Coturnix japonica: one gene and its partner. The protein of the gene in region 2 interacts with the protein of the main gene of each other region in a pairwise test. Links are inferred from orthologs where the notes say so. Each region holds a gene or a part of one and is shown on either strand. Other genes may lie near its edges. The genes, in order: LRRFIP1 and FLII.

The links.
Region 1: the proteins of FLII (region 2) and LRRFIP1 interact in binary tests that used the Homo sapiens proteins (3 or more experiments, as listed by UniProt). The link is inferred for Coturnix japonica from reciprocal best matches to the Homo sapiens genes FLII and LRRFIP1.

What each region holds. Positions count from the first base shown.
Region 1 is NC_029522.1:8,635,680-8,646,531, forward strand, and holds the start of LRRFIP1 (leucine-rich repeat flightless-interacting protein 1), read right to left. Parts: upstream 7,242-10,852; 5' UTR 7,227-7,241; coding exon 7,119-7,226; intron 3,346-7,118; exon of another isoform or gene 2,916-3,345; coding exon of another isoform or gene 2,871-2,915; intron 1-2,870.
Region 2 is NC_029529.1:5,095,162-5,106,100, forward strand, and holds the start of FLII (protein flightless-1 homolog), read right to left. Parts: upstream 5,245-10,939; 5' UTR 5,204-5,244; coding exon 5,141-5,203; intron 4,643-5,140; coding exon 4,532-4,642; intron 4,007-4,531; coding exon 3,935-4,006; intron 3,815-3,934; coding exon 3,734-3,814; intron 3,518-3,733; coding exon 3,432-3,517; intron 3,299-3,431; coding exon 3,137-3,298; intron 3,055-3,136; coding exon 2,951-3,054; intron 2,874-2,950; coding exon 2,698-2,873; intron 2,592-2,697; coding exon 2,434-2,591; intron 2,301-2,433; coding exon 2,216-2,300; intron 2,026-2,215; coding exon 1,878-2,025; intron 1,800-1,877; coding exon 1,666-1,799; intron 1,597-1,665; coding exon 1,384-1,596; intron 1,310-1,383; coding exon 1,130-1,309; intron 1,056-1,129; coding exon 973-1,055; intron 889-972; coding exon 814-888; intron 579-813; coding exon 495-578; intron 426-494; coding exon 254-425; intron 179-253; coding exon 74-178; intron 1-73. Other genes in the region: MIEF2 (mitochondrial dynamics protein MID49), read left to right, coding at 5,812-5,958, 6,433-6,622, 7,378-8,432. UniProt on the Homo sapiens protein: Is a regulator of actin polymerization, required for proper myofibril organization and regulation of the length of sarcomeric thin filaments. It also plays a role in the assembly of cardiomyocyte cell adhesion complexes.

The DNA of each region.
Region 1 (10,852 bases), on a different chromosome or scaffold from region 2:
CCGACACCAGACCCGAGTCACCTCCAAGGCAGAGAGAGGTGCCCATATCTTGCAAGGGGCTCAGTGCTCAGCATACCGCAAACACAAATGTATACAGGCTTCTGCAAGTCAGACTTAAAGAGCTGAAATGGAAGTCTCAAGGCTGCCAAAATAAATAGCTATTAAATGGATCCGAGATGGAAAATCACTAAGATAGAAACACATCTAAAATTCACTACCAACTCCATGAGCAGTACCTCAATCAGAAGAGGCAGATCACTAGCAAAAAACACACGAATAAAAACACAAAGCCTAATTGCACTCATTAGAAAGCCTTTGTAACTTCCCTTTATGAACCATTGTGCATCTGACAAGGAGTACTGGCAGCTTCAGCTGCATTGTGCGTGTCATCCAAAATAAACCCTAAGGGGCTTCTGTAAAAGCCTGTGGGAAAAACAAGGAGAGAGACAGCACAGTGCTCACAACATGGAAACCTACACCAGCTGAAGAATGATCGCCTTAATTCAAGGGAGTTGCTCAAACACTCCAGCTACACATCCTGCATTTTTGTCATTTTATTGCAATTGCCCGGGGTGATTTATAGACTCAGAGCCCCAAGGCAAACACCTCGCTGCACTGCAAAACGCCGGCTGCTTTTGTTGGTCCACTTGCTTTGCGCTCCACAGCCCTGTTCAGTTTCCAAAGAAAAATCCAGTGCTCTGCAGATCTTTATCGTGCATGAAGGAGTTCAGTACGTTCAGCTCTGAGCAGGCTAACATTAAATAACCTGGCTCACTACTGATGAGAAAAGGCAGGCACTGGGTATGAGCCTTCCAACATCAATCAGCCCATAGCACTGAGCTATGGACAGAACTAGGAATCTGGGATGGCTGAAGACATCCCGACCCCTTTTCAGTCACCGGTGGGAACCAGTGAGGAGTGCTGTGCTCCCAGCACTGATGCTTGAAGGGCAATGGCAACAGAAGGGCAGGTTTCCTGGCCTGGAGAAGCTGCCGGCTCATTACTGTCTCAATGAGGGAATTCTTTGGGTGACTTGGTTAGGTAGATGCTAGTGACACACATCCTGAAGGTGTGCATTCTTGGAGCTTTTCCTTTTGGAAAGATTCAAGGGGTCATTGTTAAACTGGAAGCCCCAAGAAACAACCAACAAAGGCAGGAAATTAGGTTGCTTTTCTCAGCACTGGAAAATGACTGTGTTGACTTACAGCACAGCTACACACGTAATAGTTTGCAATCTATACAAAGCACTCCTTAAATCCAGTGTACTCAAAGCCATCCGCTTCGAAGACTTAACATTCAAGTGTTGGTCTGTAAGCACAAAATCAAGCTCAGAAAGCTCTCTGATCTCATTACCAGAAAAATACACCTGCAAACTATACAGCAGCTATTACATATTCTTTTAACAACTTTTCTCAGGCTAACATAAGCTGCTTGCCTTATTCTTAAGACAGAGCCAGCTATTTGTTTGCTGCGAACGCAGCTTCTCATGGGCACTGCCGCTCCAGCCCAGTACCCTGCATGGAAAAACTTTCTTCAAGTGTTACACAACTGCTCTCCCCATTTACATAAGTCACATGCTTCATTAGTCAAAAGAAACCTGGCAAGGTTTGCTGTGCTCCTCAAAAGTGTAAGGTTTATTTACACAAGCAGCACCTGATTTGAGAGATTCTCCTAAGGCAGCAGACATAGATCTATCAGCTCAACCTCAACTAAGTGACAGCAGTGTTTTCCTTCACCTGAGCTCCTGGAGCTCAACGTGAATAATCACCTGCTCCTTCACGCTGAAACAAGGGTGTCTGTACGTGATGATGCTTGGAGTGTATCTACCTGATGTTCTTTGCATCTGAGCTGGGAGCCTAAGTACACTTTGCACCACTTACTCATGTAATGATCAGCCAGTGAATCACACAGGGATTGGTCAGCCCACATCCTGCCCAGCTCTTTACCTTTCTCTTACATGCAAATGATTACTAAATATAAAGGTAAGGATTCCTTTCTAATAACCACAGGCCACCATCATCCTTCAGACAGTGGGGATCATTACAGACAGGTCTGACAGCTTCCCTCTGTTCCATGGGGTGACAGTGAGGGAGGATCCAGGAGGATGACAGTTCACATCACCAACCCACATCGGCAGCCCAGTAACGCCTATTACAACTCCATGGAGACACAGGGCTGCTTTTAAACTTCACTTACAAAGCACAAAAAGAAATTAAGTTGGCATATCTGCTCCCATGTCAATTTGAAAAGCAAATAACTCACACTCCTATACTTTACTTTTTAAAAGGGCTTAGAAAACTCGAAGCATAGGGAAGAATTAGCTACTCGTGGGTGCCAGTCAATGCCAACAGTTGGCACCCCACTGCTGTAGAGGTGCTGTTAATTACACAGCGCATCCAAACTGAGGCTGTTCTCACAGACTGTTCCAAACCTTACAAACTCACAGGCAAGAAAAACAAACAGCAGAACTTTCTCTAAGCATCTATGATTATAATGTTTGAGTTCAGCCAAAGGCACGTGCAGCTGTAACACAGCAGAAACCCGGAGGAAGCAATTTAGGGGCGCAGCATTGCTCAGCAGCTCGCTAAGCGGCCGAGAGCTTCACTGCACGCAGCTGGGTAACCTGGGCTGTAACGCAGACTGCGAAGATACTGTCCCGCAAGAGGCGATAAAACCAAACTCGCTACGGTTTAAACTGGGGGCAGACAAGTTCAGGGCAAACATACCCAATTGGGGGCACCGCTTACTAAGCGTTGTGAAAGCCGATTAAATGCAGAGCAGCCCCCGAAGGGTTAAATGAGCACAGGTGCTGCCCGGTTGTGATTCGGACCGTAAGAGCCGTAGCACCCCCACCCTCCCCAACGCCGTACCAGTTTCTGAGCCTCTGGGCTCAGGCAGTCCGCTTCTATCGGCATCGTTGCAGTTGGATCTTCGCATGAAAGAGAAAAGCCCCACCCGGCCCCTCCGAGCAGACCCCGCCAGGCTCGTGCTGGCGGAGAACGACGCGCTGCCGGCACCTCCCGGAGCCGAAGTCCGAGCGCTCCGTGCCCGCGGGCTGTCGGTACTCGCTGTGAGTCAGCAGCGCCCGCCGGCACCGATGTGACAACTACACGCGTTTCTTGGCTCTTATCAGCACGCCGCCTGTTGCTTCTACCGATTGCTATTCACGCCGCTTTTTTGGTGAAGACTCTTATGCACGTAGCGTGCTTCTTGGTGTAGAGAAAGAGAAAGCAATTGTGAGAACGGCTGCAGAGCTTCCCAGGCTTACAGCTTCCTTTATGTGCTGGAGATAAACGCCGGCAACAACGGCACAACCACCCGCTTAGCCTATGGCTGCCCTCTGGGCAGCGCAGCCGAGCTGCATATCTCCGAGCACACTGAATGTTAACAACAGGAAGCACTCGAACAGATGCTTACACGCAGACATTCACACCATCGGCGTTCGCATCTCAGAAATAAAGCACTCAACTGCCTCTAATTTGCTGCAATTCTATCAATAACGCTGCGTTGGTTCGGGTAGAGCTGAGCTCAGGGCAGTGGTGTAAACCAGGTGCACCAGCATAAGAACCACAGAATGGCCTGGGTTGAAAAAGACCACAATGATCATCTCATCCCAACCACCTGCTACACACAAGGTCACCAACCACCAGACCAGGCTGCCCAGAGCCACATGCAGCCCTCCTGATTTTGCCTGGAAAGCAGAGGTGAGGGCAGGGAGGAAGCTACTGGGGTATGAAGAAAACCCTAAGCAGCTCCTTTTACCCACAGAGGTTTTGCAGCAGCAACAATAGCAGGCGCTACAAGTCATCTCCTCCTGGCACGCGGTACACCAGACAAGCAAAACAGGGCGCTCCCTTAGCAACAAAACCTTGCTCTCTTTTTCCTGGTCACCAACAACCAAACCCTGCTCTTGCTTTCCTGGTCACAGGCAAAGGTGGGGACCTCATGAAGTCTCCGCCCAGGAGCTGAGCTCAGTTTTTCCATGAGCTGCCAGCCCTGAACGAAGAGCTCAATTCTCCTGCTGGCAGAGCACCCTGTTCCTGTATTTTCCATGCCGCTGACAATATTTTAGCTAATTTGGAAGCGCTGGCACTATTTGCATTCAGAAGGTAACCAGCTGGCTGCTTTCACTGGTTGGGAGACCCTGCAACATCCTATTGCTCCTGGACAGGCGAGACAGACACACTGCTCCTCCATCACAAGCAATGGGAGGGAGCTCCAGTCTGCTCTATTTCCCTCATGCTTTGGCATTCTCTGCTCTTGCTGACAAATTTTACAGGACTGAAAGAATAACAAATATTCCAGGTCCTCACACAACTTCTAAGGCACAGCAGATTCCCTTGCTCTAGAGCTGCAGTCTGACATCACCCAGCAGTTATCCTGCAGTGCTCAGCACAGTGGAGCAAAGCATTGCAGAAACCCCCAAACCAAAACTAGCTTGGAAAGTGCGCTCCTGGGTAATGGCAGCTCCCCCTAAGGTGGGACAGGAGCCAGTCTCTGAAGTTAACTCTTCCAGACAACTGTCTTTCCTCACATAGGAAAGCGTGGTAACTCAGCATGAAGAAGTATGCTGAATTTTACATGAGCATAAAGTAGGTGATTTGCTATGGCTTTCATGACCAACAAGAATCCAACTCCCCTCTAATTTTTACTGGCAGACCTGTACAGATTTGTATCCTGTGCGTCACTACAAAGATATACCAGAAACGTGAATACTTCCTGTATGAGGCCTATGATACTAAGAATCTCCCCCCACACACCTTTTTTCAGTTACTTCTAAAACCAACATAGAACCCAAGATGTTTGTTTTCAATGGGCTTACTTGAGAAAGCACTTCAAACCTCAGGGTAAGCCAAAACACACAGTGTGCCACAGACTTCCAGGATTAGGAGGTCATTTTAATACCTCTGAATTTCCTTTTTTTTTTTTTCCCCCTTAGTAATATACAGTTGGCAGCATTCAAGGCACGTCTGCCTTGATTCTACATAGAGCAAGGCACATTCTGTTTGGATTTGCAAGCTGGTGCTGCTGGATTTCCCAGGAAGGGGAACTGCTACAGACACGTTCTCTTCCTCACCTCTCCTTCCTCTGGTGCTCTGTGGGGTTCTCCAGGCACTGAAATAGAAAGCAAGCACACATGATGCTGAACTACATCAGCTGAGATGCAAGCTAGGCAGCCAATGCCGCATCTTACTTGATTGTACTCCAAAGCCATTCAGAACCACTAAGCTGACAGAGAACAACTGCTGTGAAACCCAGGGGAGCCCTCCAACACAGGTCACACCCAACTGATGTCCTCAGGGCATGTTACACCAGAGTCAATCACTAGACTTAGAGTTAGAATAAAAAAGGCCAAAAGCTTAACATACAAATAATAGCACCAAGAAAACCTGCAACACGTTTCCATATTAGACCACCCCTATATTAATCTTAACAGCCACACTGCAATGCTGTCCCTCGCATCCATCTGCAACTCTGCTGACCGCATTTATATCTTAAAAATAATACGAAAGAAAATATTATGTCTTCTTTTTATCTTCAAGTAGCATATTTTAGAATGCTAGCATTGTATTTATTACTGGCATTCCTGACAGCGAGAAGGGGAAATGCAAAGCTCAAGTTATAGACAAAAAGGCTGGCAAGCACATTGTAATAGACAAATGTAGTTACTCAAGGGTTTTTTCCTCCTTCAGTTCATGATCTTGTTCTAATTTCAAGAATGTCTATAACAACCTATGGAGTAACAACCTACCGAAGTCATGAAGACAAGAAACTACATATGTATCTCACTTCATTGTGACTGCCTGCTGTGGGCATCCTGGCACACTTGCAGCTCAGCTGGCAGAGTTAACAAAACCTCCTTGTAAACTGTCACCAAGGCAATGGACTCAAGTATACACAACTAAATGCTTCTTAGGAAAACAATGTCCGGTTTTCATCACAAGAACATGCTGCCAGTATCAACAGATAATGTTCGATTGAGGCTAGATGGCGACACAGCAAGGAAGAGAAAGAAAACTGCTTACAACATTCCACGTTCACTACAGAGAAATAAAACACTGTGTCAACTCAAATGTACAACAGTCATTTCTTTACCTTACGTACCTGCAAACATGGAAGACTCACGCCATTAAACATCTTAGCAGAACTATTAACTTTGACAAGAGTCCAATTTTCCAACGCTTAAGGACACCTACAGAGGCAAACTGACCAAAAAGAGAGCTGTTGTGCCTCGTGATGCCCAGCAGCAACCTAAGCATCTTTTCCTGACTTACTAATTCACACCACACAATCCTGCAAGACCAGGGTTTGTTGGGAGGTTAAATTAGGATTTCTCATGGCAAGCTCGTCTTGCAAGGGCGTCCCAAGAGCAAGTTCTTATTTTGTTCCTCAGAATTCCAGAACTTAGTTTTTCCTCTGTTAACTTCAAGTGCCAGGAGAACGATCATGCAGACATTCCCCTTTGGCATCTCGATGGTGCAAGCACAAGTTATCTCTGTTTAATGGGTCAGCATTCTTGCTCTCCATGCTTAACATTTTAAGCCAGACACCAAGAAGAGGGGAAGAAACCCATAGCTAATGAGGAATTTACATAAGAACAGCATGAACTTGAAAAACATTTGCTTATGCATTTGCCAGAAAATGCATCTCAGAGATAATTCAAGCATGTGACCAGAAGCTGGGAAGTCTCGTTGACAAGAACCCTTTCCCCATAAGTGAAGCAAATGTTTACTTTGCGGAGCTCTGCAGTGAACACTGCGTACAGCTCTACAACATAAGAGACAATTAAGGAGTTGCATCTTACTTCATAAATTGTATTGCCATGCAGTCACAAAGGGCTGCTGCTAAAAATACAGTCTAAACAATAACTGAACTCCATCATGAGATCGCACGGATTGCCAAAGCTCACCCCAGCACAAGGAATCAATCTTAACACACCTGTAAAAAGGGGGGTATCATGCAACAATTGTCATAGACCCTAGCAGCATTTAGCCGGCAATCATTCCCTTAGCAAACCCTTTGCTTTTTTAAACCTCCCAGGGTGGGAAAACCATTCATGATGCTGTGAAATTCATGCATTAATCAGAAAGCTGATAAAGTCTCTTTTTTTCTCTTACCTGTTTGTGTAGTTCATGCACACTATCAATAACAAGTTCGCAGAGCAGTTCCACAGGGGCTTGCTCTCCTAGAGTGGTCTCTGGCACAGCACTGGGCCTGCCGTGCATCCCAGGCCGCTGGCTCACTGCAGCTGGTTCAGCTATAAGCAGGGCTCTGCTTTAAGGCACTCTGGACTAGTGGGAGGAGGGACAGTGCTGGAAGCACCTCCTTCAATCTAAACAAACCCCCTCCACGTGAAAATGCTGCAGAGTTCAACATGCTCCATAAGAAAATGAGTGTGACAGCTCATCAGTTCTGCAGGCCATTAAAAACAAAAAAAAACCCCAACACTTCTGTGTAAATATTGCAGCTAAAGAGCCTGCATGGGAAGAGAATTGATTACAAACAGAAAGTGATCCTAAACTGGTTGATCTGTATACAAAGAGGGCATACCATTTTCACGGCTGTTTAGCAATACCCATCCCATTTTTGTACTCAAATACAGCACAGAAGGGAGGTAAGAACAACCCCAGCGCAGAGGCTGTGGGCAGACCTGCAGGAGCATGTTGCAGTTTCCTATCCTGACCACTTTTCTATAGGTGGTGTACTGACCTGGCAGAGAACCAACACTGTATCAGCATTTCAGTCACATCTTCAGTTAGCATCCCTGATCAACTCTAGTCTGGGAGTGACTGCTCCCATAAGGGAAGCATTTGGATGCCACTTCACAGCTGTTATCTCAAAGAATAAAGCCATGAGCTTTATACAGCCTATGCAAGACTTCATTCATTCACGTACTTGAGCTCAAGACCATTACTCACGTAAAGTAGTTTCAAGGCACTCAGCGCTGACCTTGGAAACAGCTGGATCCTTCAGACAGATAAGCAAATCACAATTGTTGAATCTAAAATGATATCCAGTAGGAAAAACCCAAGAAAACCAACCGACAGTAAGAGCAAACACTGCACTTTGACAAGAATATAATAAGGTCCACAGCACTGTCTCCTAAAACACCCACTTGCAGTAAGCTGTGTTCAGTGATCCCTTCCACTTGCCATAATGGCTCTGCGCTCTCTCCAGCTTGACATCTTAGTACAATGCTACACACAGAAAATGAATTGAACTGTATTTCAGATCCTTGATAATGCTCCGCCACTTCTTTCTAGCTAAAGCCAAGCTGCAAATGGCATGTTTCACAGTAGGGCTGGTCTGTAAGCGCCCAGGTCTCAGTAGACCTTCAGTAAGGAAGTACGCATGCTAATTGAATTCAGCTGTTGGTACACATCAGCAAAGAGCAAACACACTTGTCTGGACCATGCTGCTTATGGAAGAAGCAAGCACAATAGCCATATTTGGAGCCTGCAATAAACAGCACTATTTTGGTGGCTTCTTTATAGAGTAAACACAGGTCAGGGAGGGCTCCAGGGCTGGGTGAATGCCAGCACCTTTTTGAACATGGACATAAACAAAGCTTTTGTTCCTGACTGGTAATAGCATTTGAAATATAAATAACCACTGCTAGTCAGAGATTGTTACAATCAATATAGTCAGTGAAGACCAAAGTGTGGTACCCACAGCATTCCAAACTTCATCTGAATAAGTGTGCAATATGGCCCAGAATTTTAGCATGTTCACATGTCACAAATCTCAGCTTAAAGCAGCACCCATAAGCTTTTAATTGAAGAAAAAATAATCCAAAAGTTACTAATGCTGCTTTGAGGGACAGGTTGAAAATACTGCAGACTAAGCAAAATACATGGTGGGATACGTTGAAAACATTATATAGACAAAATAGATGATGAATATCAAGCAAGAGCACAAGGAGTATAGGAATTAAGATGCTTACGAAAGTAAAAGTTACAGAGGAAAATAAAAGAACATGGGACAAGAGCCAAAGCCTGCAACACCCAAGATTTAACAGCCATAGTCCTGTTTCTATAAACAAACAGCTCTTCCATTAATTTTTAGGGATTAGCCCTGGAATGAAAGGAACTTGCTGCTCCTCTTTCCTGTTTACAAGGTGTCTGCTTTATCTCAGTTTCTGAAATGAGCAAAACAAGGGCAGCCACTGCTACAGCCACATGTATAGTGTTACTCCTGCAAAGACAAAAAGAACTTCGACACAAACAGAAGGTTTTTCAGTCCAGTAAGTTCTATCCTAAAAATCAAAATGCATCATAAAGAACCACCAGATACAGATTGTACTTACTTTTCCTTTCTCAATTAAATGCAATGGTTCAACCAGGCTGAGCTGGGTGTAGACTTTTTCCATTTGTAAAGCCATCATCATTCCAATCAGCTGGAAAGCAGAGTGAGACTGTGCACAGCTCTGTGAATGAGACACTAAGTACAGCTCCGCAGTAAAGGCGCTACACTTCTGAATTTCCAGTGTCCAATAGTCAGACCAGAGGTCAGAGCTGATGCAGAAAAAGTTTCCTGAGAGCTTTTTACTCAGTGCATTGCATGGCCACACAAAATGCTGATACAGAAGAACAGCTTCCAAAGCCAAGACACACTGTAATGTTATGTTCAGTTGCTTAAGACTGAAGTTAGGATGTGTGAACTGCTTGACAATCACCCTTAGTGTGAGACCTCTACATTTTGCTATAGGTCAAATCTACTTGTATCAGCGAGAAGTTCTCAAATCTTCATGCCAAAAACTAATCAGTAGGTTGCACCAGCCTTTGTCATCAATTAATACAGACTTGCACCATGCTTCTGTTTCTTGCCCAGAGAAAAGATTAAATGTTCCTCTGGAAGAAAACAAATGAGAGAGGTAATACTTTGAAATCTTCACACAACACATTTCAAAAGCATTATGCCAGCAGAACGAATCACAAACTCCAGTAAGAGCTTAATCTTCTGCACAGCTAACTCGCTTGTATTTATTAGGTACAAAGGAGAGCAGGCTGGAAGCAAACACAGCTCTTTTATGGAATTTAGTTTTCAGGAGCAACTCACATAGCATAGCAGCTCTCTGCAGACAAGAGCAACACTCTGCAAACTGCAACTCAGAAGTGCTGACTGCAGCAGAAGAGATATGAGAGATCGTAATACGGTCACTGTATCATGTGCCTGCCAAGTCTGCAAGACAGAAATGCTATGACATACTCTCAGCTACTTTTATGAGAAAACAAGCCACGCTACACATTAAAGGCACAGAATTAATTGCAAGTTTCTGAACACGAGTAGGAAGAAAGTGTTTTTTTTTGTTTGTTTTTTTTTTTTTTTTAAAGGTACCACCCAGACTTAATCTGTTTGAAATAAAAGAATGCTCTAATTCTCCCATGTATGCACGAGGCAAGTCTGAAGGTCAGCATCCCATCTAGCATAGCAGAGGAGTAATGGTGATGAATTGCTCCATACGGAAAGGCCAAGAGTGAACCTGTAGCCTGTTCAGCCTGTCCTGAAACCCACAAGAGGGAGTAACAAACAAAGCAAACATTCTGAGTAACCAAAGAGGCAGTGCTTCAATCACACAATGCAGGGGCACCATATTTTTGGTACAAGAGTACCATTGCTTGAAAACTCTGTCATGGAAAATGTGGATGAAGATATCAGCACTTTTAAAGATAACTATGGGATAACAAACAGGATACATGACCACTGTAGAAGGCCTATTCCTCTGTGTACCTACATGTTATTTCAGACTTCCTTAAATCACTTGCCCTTCCAAATGCCTTTCAATCACCTATACAAAGAATAAAGAAGGGAAAAATAAAGCTGAAGCAAACTAACAAAGGTAGCAAAAGGA
Region 2 (10,939 bases):
GGAGGCAGGGAGAGAGCAGAACCCATCTCACGGGTCAGAACAGGAGAGCCTCCCTCCCCATCCTATGTCCTACCAGGCGCATCTCAGGCATCAGATCAGCCTTCAGTCTCTTCTTGTGCTCTACCGACAGCTTGTAGTTGATCTGGGGCAGCTCCAGGTAACCCAGCCCCAAGCCAACCTGCAGAGAACAGGGACACCGGGTGAGGATGGCCGTGGCACAGCGATGACCCCACAGAGGGCGGCAGCTCCTCACCTTGTACAGCTTGGGTTTGTGGGGCTGGAAGTCATCGGGGACGCAGGGCTGGATCTCCTCGGGCTGCCCCCCCAGAACGTCCCAGAACTCGGGGCTCTCCTGGCCCTGGCAGAGCAGTGTGATCTCTGCTTTGCCCTTGCGCTCGTTCTTGTTGATCTTCTCAGCAAAGAGTCTGTGGGAGCGCAGGGTGAGCTGGGCTCCTTGCTACCTTTGGTCCCCAGCCCAGGATCCCAGCTCTAACCTGGCCTTGGTGGTGCTGCTCAGCGTGGCCCGGCTTCCCCGCCACACAAAAAGCTCCAGACCGTGGTCCAGGAGGAAGACAAAGCTGGAGAACATGGAGATAAGAGCAGATGAGGAAGGGAGCAGGATGCACCACCATCCTCCCCACACTTGGGGTCTTTGTGAAGCAGGTAAAGCCTCTGCATGGGATTTGAATCCCTGATCTTAAAGAAGGGCAGCTCATTTCCACCCCAAAGCTGCAGCCACACTGTCTTGGCTTGGACCCGGCTCCCTGTCCCTTTTCAGGGACCCATATGTTCCCTCACTCTTTCCCTGCTCACCGGGGGTCTAGGGATGTCCCTTTCAGTGCCACTGGCTCCAGCTTGATGTTCTTCTTCCCATAGACACGGTACAGCCTGGGGGAGAGAGATGGCCATGACTGAACATGGGGCACCACCTGCCCCGTGTCCCCCCTCCCAGCCGCCTGCCCCCAGCCCTACCTGGTGATGTACTGAGTGTCCTCAACAGTGAAGAACCCGCTGGCCGTGCCACCCTCGATGTAGGAGATGTCATTATCAAAAACCTAGGGGCAAAGAAAAGGGGGTGAGGGTGGGGAATGGAAGGCTGGGGCTGTGTGGAGCACTGGGACAGCCTCACCTGGAGGAACTCATCGCTCTCATCCCCCATCTCCTCACGGATGCAGCGACATTCGGCCCCCAGGTAGTTGCGCAGGTTGACGGCGTGGATGGCAGAACACGCCTTCTTGTCCAGAGTGGCCTCCTGCCCAATCCAGTAGTAGATCTCCCAGCTGAGGGAGCCGTTCTCATCCAGGAAGGTCTGTGGAGGGACAGGGTGTGAGAAGGGCTGCAAAATGCCCTGGGGACACAGGGATCCCCACTGCCCTGCTGTACCTTCAGCACGATGTAGCAATCGGCCTCATAGAACTTCCCATAGAAGGCGTCATCCACCAGCGTGGGCACGAAGTTCTCGATCTGCCAAATGCTGAGGCCAGGCAGCTGCCCCACATCCTCACTGAAGAACTCTGAGTAGTCCAGCTGGGGCTTCTCCAGGCCCTGGTCCCAGCGCCGTGTCTTCAGATCCGGAGCTTTTGCTTCCCCACTCTCCTGCGTGGACAGGGATGGGTCACCCAGGTGGGACACCCCATGGTGGGACAGGGCTGGATGCAGACCTACCTCTATCTTCTTGTTCTTCTCCTGGGCCACATCTGACATTCCCTTCAGCACCTGCTTGGCCTGGTCATCCTGGGCTGAGTCCTTGCGCCGCCGCAGACGCATCTTGCGGGCCAGTGGGTCCTTGGTGCTGCTCCCTGGGGACAGTGGGACGGGGTGAGAAGCAGCGGGACCCCCCAGGCATGGCACAGGGCCGTGCCTCCTTGTCCACTTGCCTGCTGCAGCAGCTGCCACGGTGGCTGGTGAGGCTCCGGCCAGGCGGAGCTGGTTCTGCAGGGAGAAGTCGATGTTGTACCACTCTGATGTCCGCTCTGCTGGCTTTGGGGGCATCACCAGGTTGGGGTTCTCACGCACATCCAGGACCTGCCAAGGGGATGGGAGAACTCAGTGCTCTGAGGCACGGAAACACCAAGGATGTGAGGTAGGATGGGAGTGCTCAAAGCACTGCAAGCTCTGGGGAGATGATGGGGGACCATGCACCAGGCTGCAGGCAGCGCCCTGCCCTCACCCCATCCCTCAGACCCCAGGGGTACACACAGTGCTGGGCTCTCACCTCCACATCTGTCAGGAAGTGAATGGCCTCTGGCAGCGTCACCAGGCGGTTCTTGTTCAGCACCAGCTTCCGCAGCTTGGAGCACCTGCGGGGTGGGGGGATGCTGAGACAGGGCTGTGCCAGGGTTGCATTCTTCAGGACCCTCCACCCCATCATCTCCCACCTCCACGTGTCCCCTCTTGGGGACAGCTCAAATCTGGCCGGGGGCTGCCCCCTACCTGCACAAGCTCTCAGGGATGAGCTCCAGGTTGTTGTTGGCCGCCATGAACTCCTCCAGGTTGGAGAGCTTGCCAATGCCCGAGGGGATCCCATCGAAGTCGAGCTTGTTGGAGTTAAGGTACATCTTCTTCAGCTTGGTCAGCTTGCAGATGGCAGACTGGGGAAGGAAGGGGAAGGTGGTGGGGTGAGGGCTGGCACTGCAGCCAGGGAAGGGACACAATGGAGGAGTGGGGACATGACGGAGGGATGGGGACAACACGCACAGGCAGGGAGGTGAGCTCATTGCGGGACAGGTTGAGGGTCTCCAGCTGTGTCCACTGGTCGATGCACAGGGACAGCTCAGTGATCTTGTTGCTGCTGAGGTTGAGGCGCCGCAGGCTGCCCAGCGTGTAGAGGCACTCGGGAACACGGCTGAGGTCATTGCAGGACAGGTCCACATCTGGGGAACAAATGGGGCTGAGGCCACCAGGACACACACCAGGACAGCCCCGATGCAACACCCCAACACAGCCCTACCTGCCAGGTTGACCAGGCTCTCCAGGCTGGTGGGCAGGTTGTTCTGCGTGCGTTGTGTGTTCCGGAGGTGCAGGGTCTGCAGGGCTGTCATTGCTGGGAGCTGCCTGTGTGTCACAGAGACAGCATCAGGGCATGGCCCTGCGTGGCTCCACTATCTTGGGAACCAGACACAAAATGGAGCCGTACCGGAGCTGTGCGTGCAGCAGGGGGTTGTCATTGAGGATGAGGGTCTGGAGGTGCACCAGGCGTCTCATCTGTGGAGGGAGGCTCTCCAGCTTGTTGTTGCTCAGGTCAAGGTAAAGCAGGTCCGTGAGGTTGATGAAAAGCTGATTAGGGATGGTCTCGATACTGCGGGGACATGGGGACCTTCAGGGTGGCCCTGGATCCAACCCAAAGAGGGGGACCCAGAGTGAAGAGGGGAGTGGAGGTGACGGGTGGAGGTGGTCACGGTCAGGGGGAGCTGTGCTGCCAGGATCCCCACCTGTTGTGGCCCAGGTTGAGCACCAACATGTTCTTGGCATTCTCCAGCTCCCGGGGACACTCAGTCAGATGGTTGCGGCTCAGGTCCTGGGGGATGAAAGCAGGAATCATCCTCAGTCCTGGGATGAGTCCCCCATAACACAACTACCGCCCACCCCCAAGGATCATGGGGCATCTTTGGGACCACGTTCCAGATGCTCTTCAGTCCCACGTGCTTCCTTGAAGAGCACAAAGGAGCGTGACCAGGAGTCCAGGCTGGAGCTCTTACTGTGGGAAAGGGCAGCATGGAGAGTCTGCACTTACCAGCACTGAAAGATCCTCCAGCTGGAAGATGTCATCGGGGACTCCTGAGTTCTTCAGGCTGTTTGCACGTGCCACAATTGCCTTCAAAGTGGACAGAGAGGAATGACTGCAGCCACCACCCGGCTCCAGCAACTGCTGAGCCCCTCAGGAGGACCAGAGCCCACCATCCCCACTGCATGGGATGCACAACGGGACACTCACCCGGAGGCAGGGCAGGCTGGACAGCTCGCCATGAAGCGTGGTAAGGCTGTTGTGGCTGACGGACAGGTGCTCCTGTGGGGAATCAGGACAAAGCCCCAGTGAGTAGTGAGGGGAGCAGAGCTCAGCCCTGACCCATATTGGGCTGTTGGGGTCCCAAACTGGCTGGGGGGCTCCAGCATGTCCATAATATGCTGTAGGAACCACCAGAGCAAAGCTCAGCCATGGGCTCCACCAACAGCTACGCACAGAACTCGAGCTGCCAGGGAATAATTCCAGGCAGCTGCTGGCTGCTGCTTGTTTTTCTTTTTTCGCTTTTGCTAAGAGAGCCCAAACCTTTAATTCTCCCCATAAACTTTCACCCTTCCCTTCTATTAACAGGCAGAGGAAGAGAGTGTGGTTTCTGGTCTGGTTTTCTAAGAAAACAAGGTGAAACCCAGTACACATCAGCCTCAGCCCCTTTCCTAACAACTCCTGCATCCAATTTCAACCACACTTCCTCACTCAGCCCCTATTATTAGACGCTGGCACACGAGGCAGGCAGGCAGCAGGTTCTTGGCTGCGCAGCCCCCCCAAGTGCCCCATCCCCTGTTTGCTCACCAGCTTCTGCAGGGCAGCCAGCTCCTCGGGCAGGTAGCAGAGCCCTGTGTGGTTCAGCTTCAGCCAGCGCAGGCTGGTCATGGCCTTCACATGCTCTGGGAAGTAGCCACCCTGTGTGGGCATGAAGGTAAGAGAAACTGTATGACCCGTGGGGTGACAATGGAGAGACAGGGCTGGTGCTGTGGGGCTGCTGAGGGACAGATCACCCAGTATTATGGAGCTGGGGACTGGGATCACCCAGCCCCATGAGAACGAGATTTAAGGATGGGATTTAAGGACGGGAGCCTTATGGGACTGGGATCTGCAGACTGAGGTCACCCAGCCCTACAGGATGAGGACTGTGGGCTGACACCTCCCGGCCTTCCAAAGCCCCGCTCACACAGCAGGGCCTGCCAGGGTCACAACAAGGGCCGGGACTGACCGGCCCTAAGCGGGGACCTCGGGGATGGCCGGGCCTGGCGGGGAGCGGACAGGCCTGACAGTCCCTCCCATCCATGGCACTTCCGCCGGCTCTCCCCCCACCCCGCCCGGCCCCACACCGGGTACCGCCCCATACCGGGTACCGCCCTACACCCGGTACCGCCCCTACAGCAGGTGCCGCCCCCGCACCTTGAAGTCGTTACCGCTCAGGTCGACGCCGCGGACGAAGGGCAGCACCCCGGTGGCCGCCATGACAGCGGGGAACCCGGCGGGACGCGCCACCGCCCCAACACCCCGCCCCGCCCTGACGCTGATTGGAGGCGGGGCCAAGGAGCGCTGCGTTCATTGGCTGCGCTGCGAATTGCGGGCGCGCCGGCGCGCCAGCACGGGCTGCTGGTCCGCCCCGCTGGGAGCTGCGGGGTAAGTGGGGGGGGGCTATGGGGTGGGGGGTGAGATGGGCTCGGAGTTGGGGTTCGGAGAAGGAAATAACCGCGGGTAGTACCGTCAGTCAGTGGGGTTGGCTGTCCTACCTTTGTTTGCCCTTGGCAGCTCGGTGAAGGGGGCTGATTTTGTGCCGGCCCCTTCCGTGGTGCCATTGCAGCCCCCTCGTCCCGTCCCCATCTGTTGGCGGCCGGATCTTTATGGGGTGACCCTTGGTCCGGCCCGGCGCCACCACCGCAGCCGGCAGCAGCGGGATCCGTGGGCCTGAAGGTCGGCCGTGGTGGCGGCTGCCCCGCAGCTCGCGTCCCGCCGGGCTCCCCGCCTTCCCCCCATGGCCGTTACACGCCGGGTGTCATTACGGAGCCGGCTCCCCGCTGTCAGATCGCACCGCACCTTCCTCCTCCTTCCCGCAGGTGACCATGGCTGAGTTCTCGCAGCAGCGGGGCAAGCGGCGGGATGACAGCGGGCTGGGCAGCGTCCTGGACCTGCTGCTGGCCAACGCCAGGCTGGTGCTGGGCGTCAGCGGCGCGGCCGTGCTCGCCATCGCCACGTTGGCCGTCAAACGGGTGAGGCTGGGGGGGTGATGTGCCACTTTGCGTCCCAGAGACGTGCCTCGTTGTCTTCGGGAACCTGCGTGCATCTATGAGACTCCCAGAGCCATAGAAGAGCTGTGTGTGACTGTTACCCTGTCTGTGCCGTCCCCTCCCTGCTTTGGGGTGGGATGTGCTGCTGATTGAACAACGTGTCTGTGCAGGTTTTCCCTGTGGATCCTCCCTGGGTCTCTTTGCTCTCCCAGCAATAGCAGCCTTCTGTAAAGGGGGCTGCTGATCTCGGGTCTCCTCCCCCTCTGCCATCTGTAGCATCTCTCTGTGTTTGCATGAGCAGCAGCAGGTAGAGCATCCCCGTATGTGAACAAGGCTATTTGGGGCCTGTAGCTCTCAGTGCAGTTGGGATGGGGGAGCCCCCACTGCTTGTTCTCTGGGTGAGGTGAGGGTTTTGTGGACCACACACACATCCCCTCCATGTGTCTCTCCCACCAGCTGATAGATCGAGCCACGAGCCCTCGAGAGGAAGATGATCCTAAAGCTGAGCAGAAGAGCCTGGAGGAGAGCTGGCAGGACCTGGCTCTGATCAAGGCAACACCAAAACCTCCCAAGAAGCAGAGAAGGGAAGACCTGAGCAAACCCCTGCTCTCCCCGGCTCCACCACCAGCACCAGCTGATGCTTATGGTGGGTGCGTGTGGGTGAAGATCACCTTGGCTGGCTGTGCCTGTGCATGGGAGCTGGGCTTTATTTTTAGCTCTGTGACCGGAAAGCTGACCCGATTGTGTCTTCCCCCTTGGGAGGCTCCCAAGCTGCGGCCCCTTTTTTGGCAGTGCCTCAGTAGCAGCTCCTCTGATAACTGCTGGTTGGTTGGTCTGGTAACTCAGCCAGTTGGTTGGTAGAGGCTGCCTTGCCTTTGTTTCCTGTTGAACAGCGCTTGGTTTTTGGGTCAGCTCTGTCTAGGGAGGAAGATGTGCCTGTGAACTGCTGCAGACAAAGGCTGGCTTGTCCAGCTGGCTGCAAAGGCGGTGTTTTCTGAGTAGGAAAGCAGCCCAGCCTGGTGCTGGGCAGGTCCTGAGGCACTGCACCCAGAGTGGGATTGATTCAGGACTCAGCAATCAAGGAGCTGTTAGGGTAGGGGTGAGCAGTGGGGCTGAGCCTTGTGAAGGAGCCTGGTGGTTTGTGCTTTGTCTGGCTGCTGCTGTTTAGCTGGGCTTAGCCACCTCTAGCTGGGTGCTGTTGGGTTTGGGGTTTGGATTAAGCCCTGTGTTGGCTGGAAAGTGCTGTTATTCTGTGCCTCTCCTGGCAACATCAGCTTTGTGGCCAAAGGCTGAGAGCTGGGACTTCAGCACATGCTTTCTTTCTTTATGGCTGTGGCATGAGAAGATGTGTTGGCTGATCCATGACTTTTTCCTTGCCTTTGCCCCATCCCCTTATTGCAGAACCCAGGGTCTGCCCAGCGCCCCCAGAGCTTCCTCAAGTCGAGTCCAGCACTCCCTGCTGTCTCACACTGCAGGAGAAACTGCTGTCACACTACAGCATCCACCTCCCTATGTCTGAGGAGCAAGTGGCAGTTGCCCATCAGCTGGCCCGGAGCATTTGTGCTGAGCTTCAGAGCTTCTTACAGAACAAGTGCCCAGAGCTGCCCTTTGGCAGCCTCTTCCTCAGCGGTCCCCTGCTCGATGGCCTCGGAGCTCTTGCTGCTGACCACATCCACTTCATGCTGCCAGTAGTCCTGGATGCCACTCTCTGGAGCCTCATCCCAGGCGAGGACACCGTTGTGAGAAACCCCCAGTACTGGATGATCAAAAGGACTGACTTGGAGTATTTCCCTCGTGGGCGCAGCCCCTGGGACAGGTTTCTCGTGGGCCAGTACCTCTCCTCCAATGTGCTCAACGAGACCCTACACAAGATGTTGGTGGCCTCCATCAACTGGCCGGCCATCGGCAGCCTGCTGGGGACGGTCATCCGCCCGCTCGTGGCCTCCCGGGAGCTGAGGCTGGATGTCAAACACGATCAGGTTGAGCTGAGCATCGGCCTCTTCCCAGTGGTGGAAATGGAGGACAAAGTTCTTCTGGCCGCTCCTCCTGAAGGACTGGTGGAAAACCTCTGGCTCGAGAGCTTTGGCAGGGCGGAGGTCTTGAAGGTGAAGGAGCTGGATGCTGGTGATGCTGGTGCTCGGCAGCACTGCCTCCGTATCCTGAATGGGGTCTGCAGGATCCATCCTGCCCTGCACAAGCTGAGCGGCAGCCCCTTGGCACACGTCATCCTTCACCTGAGCACCACTGAGTCAGACTGGGCAGAGGAAAGCCTGGCCACCAGGTTCCAGCAAGTGCTCGAGGAGCTGGTGGGTTACCTGGAGAATGGGGTCCTGCCTTGCTACTTCAACCCCAAAGTCAACCTTTTCTGTGACCTGCTGGAAGAGGAAATAGAGGAGATGGGCTTCCTGCTCTATAGGGCTGTGTCTGAGCCAGGACTCCTGCTGACAGAGAAGTGACTGGTGCAGCGGGAGCTACTGAGCGTGGGGTGTTCCTCAGCTGTCTGGGCTGTGATGCTTCTAGTTGACTAGTCGGCAGGAGGCCAAGTTCTTGCACTTTATGAACAAAAGTATTTCCTTTCTGAATAAAACGTGCCTGAGAGTAATGGGTGATGGTGTAAGAAGCCATTTGCTGTGGGGCTCTGCCTTACCCACAGGGAATGCAGCCCTAAAGCAAAGTCCCATCTGCTGGGAACCAACATGGAACAAGTTTGGCTGCTGGATCTCAGCAAACTGCTCCTTCCCAGCCTGCCATCCCAACCTCTAGGCTCCCCCTGTGCTCCAAACAGAGACCTGAGCAGTTCAGAGCTTCCCCTGCCCCTTGTAGCACGCACGTCCCTTGATGCTGCTACAAACTTCATGGCTTATGATGTGCTGTGTGGGTCCTTCTGTGAGCACCGAGCTCAGTCATGCAGTGCCATGGGGTGAGGTGGGAACATTGTTCCATGCCAGGGAACAATGGATGCTGCAAGGTAATGCCATGGCAGGGTTACTCTTTGGAAATCATTTCAGGTACCAAATGACAGCCCGAGCTCAGCGCTGCCGGCTGCTCTGCCAGCATCAGCTCTGCCCCCAAGGAGGGTTCTCCATGGACATTCTCTGAGCTGCTGTGCTGCAGCATGGGCTGACAGCTACAGGAGCTGCAGCCTCCTGGTGGACACCAGTGCCCATCTAACAGGCCATGGTGTCCCCTCCCAGCCTGTCAAGTGACCTTTTCACGTATGTGTTGCTGCTGTTTTAATGTCCTGTTGCCCCGAAGCCTCATGGTGTGGGGCAGGAAAGGACTGGATTGATGCACAGAGCAGAGTACTTGCAAGAAGTCAAGAGGTGGTTTGTACTTCTTTTCATTAAGATCTATTTTGTTTGAGTATCTTTTTGTCGTTTTGGCTTTTTTTGCCTTTGAGTGGCTGCTGGTAGGTTTTGTTTCTGATTGTAATCCAAGTGTGAAGGAATACATTCTTGTATTTAATGGGAAGAGTGATGCTGTTTTTGCACACTGGTAGAGATGGTGAAATCCTGTGGGCTTTAGTGTGAGCATCTGTTGTGGTTTAGTTTTCTTTACAACCATCTTGTTTACGGGAGGATAAAAAAATCACTATGCCTTTCCTCTTAGTCTGAAGACGACTTGGTTTGTTCCTTCGAGCAACTTCCCAAGTGTTAGTGACAAGAATAAATCCTTGCTGTGTACACTGGTTCTCTCATCTCATATGTTTTGTCTCCTGTCCCGTAGTAAGGGCTGAAGCTGAGCTCCTGCTGTGGCAGCATTCCTGGAAGCAGTGCAGCTGTGGTACACCCTATGCAGAGCGTGGCAGCACTTGGACCCCATGGTGCACGGCTTTTCTCTTCCTCTTGCAGACCACCACATAAAGCACCCAGTGCTGCCTGGATGCTGAGCTCTTTGCTGTTTAGCCAGCAGCCCTAACTGCTCTGCTGCCTGAACGCTAACCGGGGTTAAACCAGTAGAGCTGGTAATGGCAAATGCCATCAGCAATGCTAAACCTGTGTGCTATGCAGACTGTTTCTGCTGCTGTTGCCATTTGGAGGCTGCCCAGCTCTAGCCATGCTTTAGCCAGCTGGCTGATTGCATTACGAAGCCGTCTAATCCTGTTATTTTAGACAGTAGGTTTGTATTTTTAGGTTACAGCTGTTAATAGTGGGAGAGAGGGGTACAGAGAAATGCAATGTAGGTTCTCCTGACTGTACTCCATAGGTCTGATAGCTACTTCTGTAGACTTGAAAGCTCTTCTTGCTTGTGCAGAGCTGAAAATGAACCTGTGCTGCTGTGGTCTCATCTGCTTTGAGCTACCCCCTAGGCAGTGCTTCAGCCTCCTGCCCACTCCAGTTGCTTCATGTATCACCTTAGTACTGAGCCATGGGAACTGCTCTCTGCTCAGCAGTGTCCTGAGCAACGCTGGAGGCCTTGGGGGAGCAGCTGAGTAGTGTCCTCTGCCAGAAGAGGACAAGGGAGTCTTGTGGAGCTACTTGCTTTGATGCAGAGAAAGCCCAAACAGAGAGGGAGGAGTTAGGTTGGCTTTTTTCTCAAGGAGCTCAGTCTAAACTATGTGCAAGAAACAAGAAACTCCTTTCAGGTTCAGCCAATTGTCTTTCTCTGGACAACAACACTACAACAAATGCAGCTGGTGAGATAAAACTTTTATCCACAGCTCAAAGAAAAGCTGCAGGGAGTTTCTGCCAAGAAAGCTTCTGTATTGTTCCAACAACTGAATAGAAAGAAAGATCTGTGTGGATGCCTTTAGTAATAGCTCACCTATTTTAAGCTGGAAGAAATAACCAGACAGTTAAGATGTCACTGCATCAAATTTAAAAATTAAATAATTATTTAATATGAAGCTTGTTACTTGGACAAAAATAACTTCCATTAACTAGCAGCAACACACAGACACGTCTTAAGGTCTGGGGAAGAATGCAGTTTCCAATTCAGGAATGGTCTAAAATAAAGGCATTTC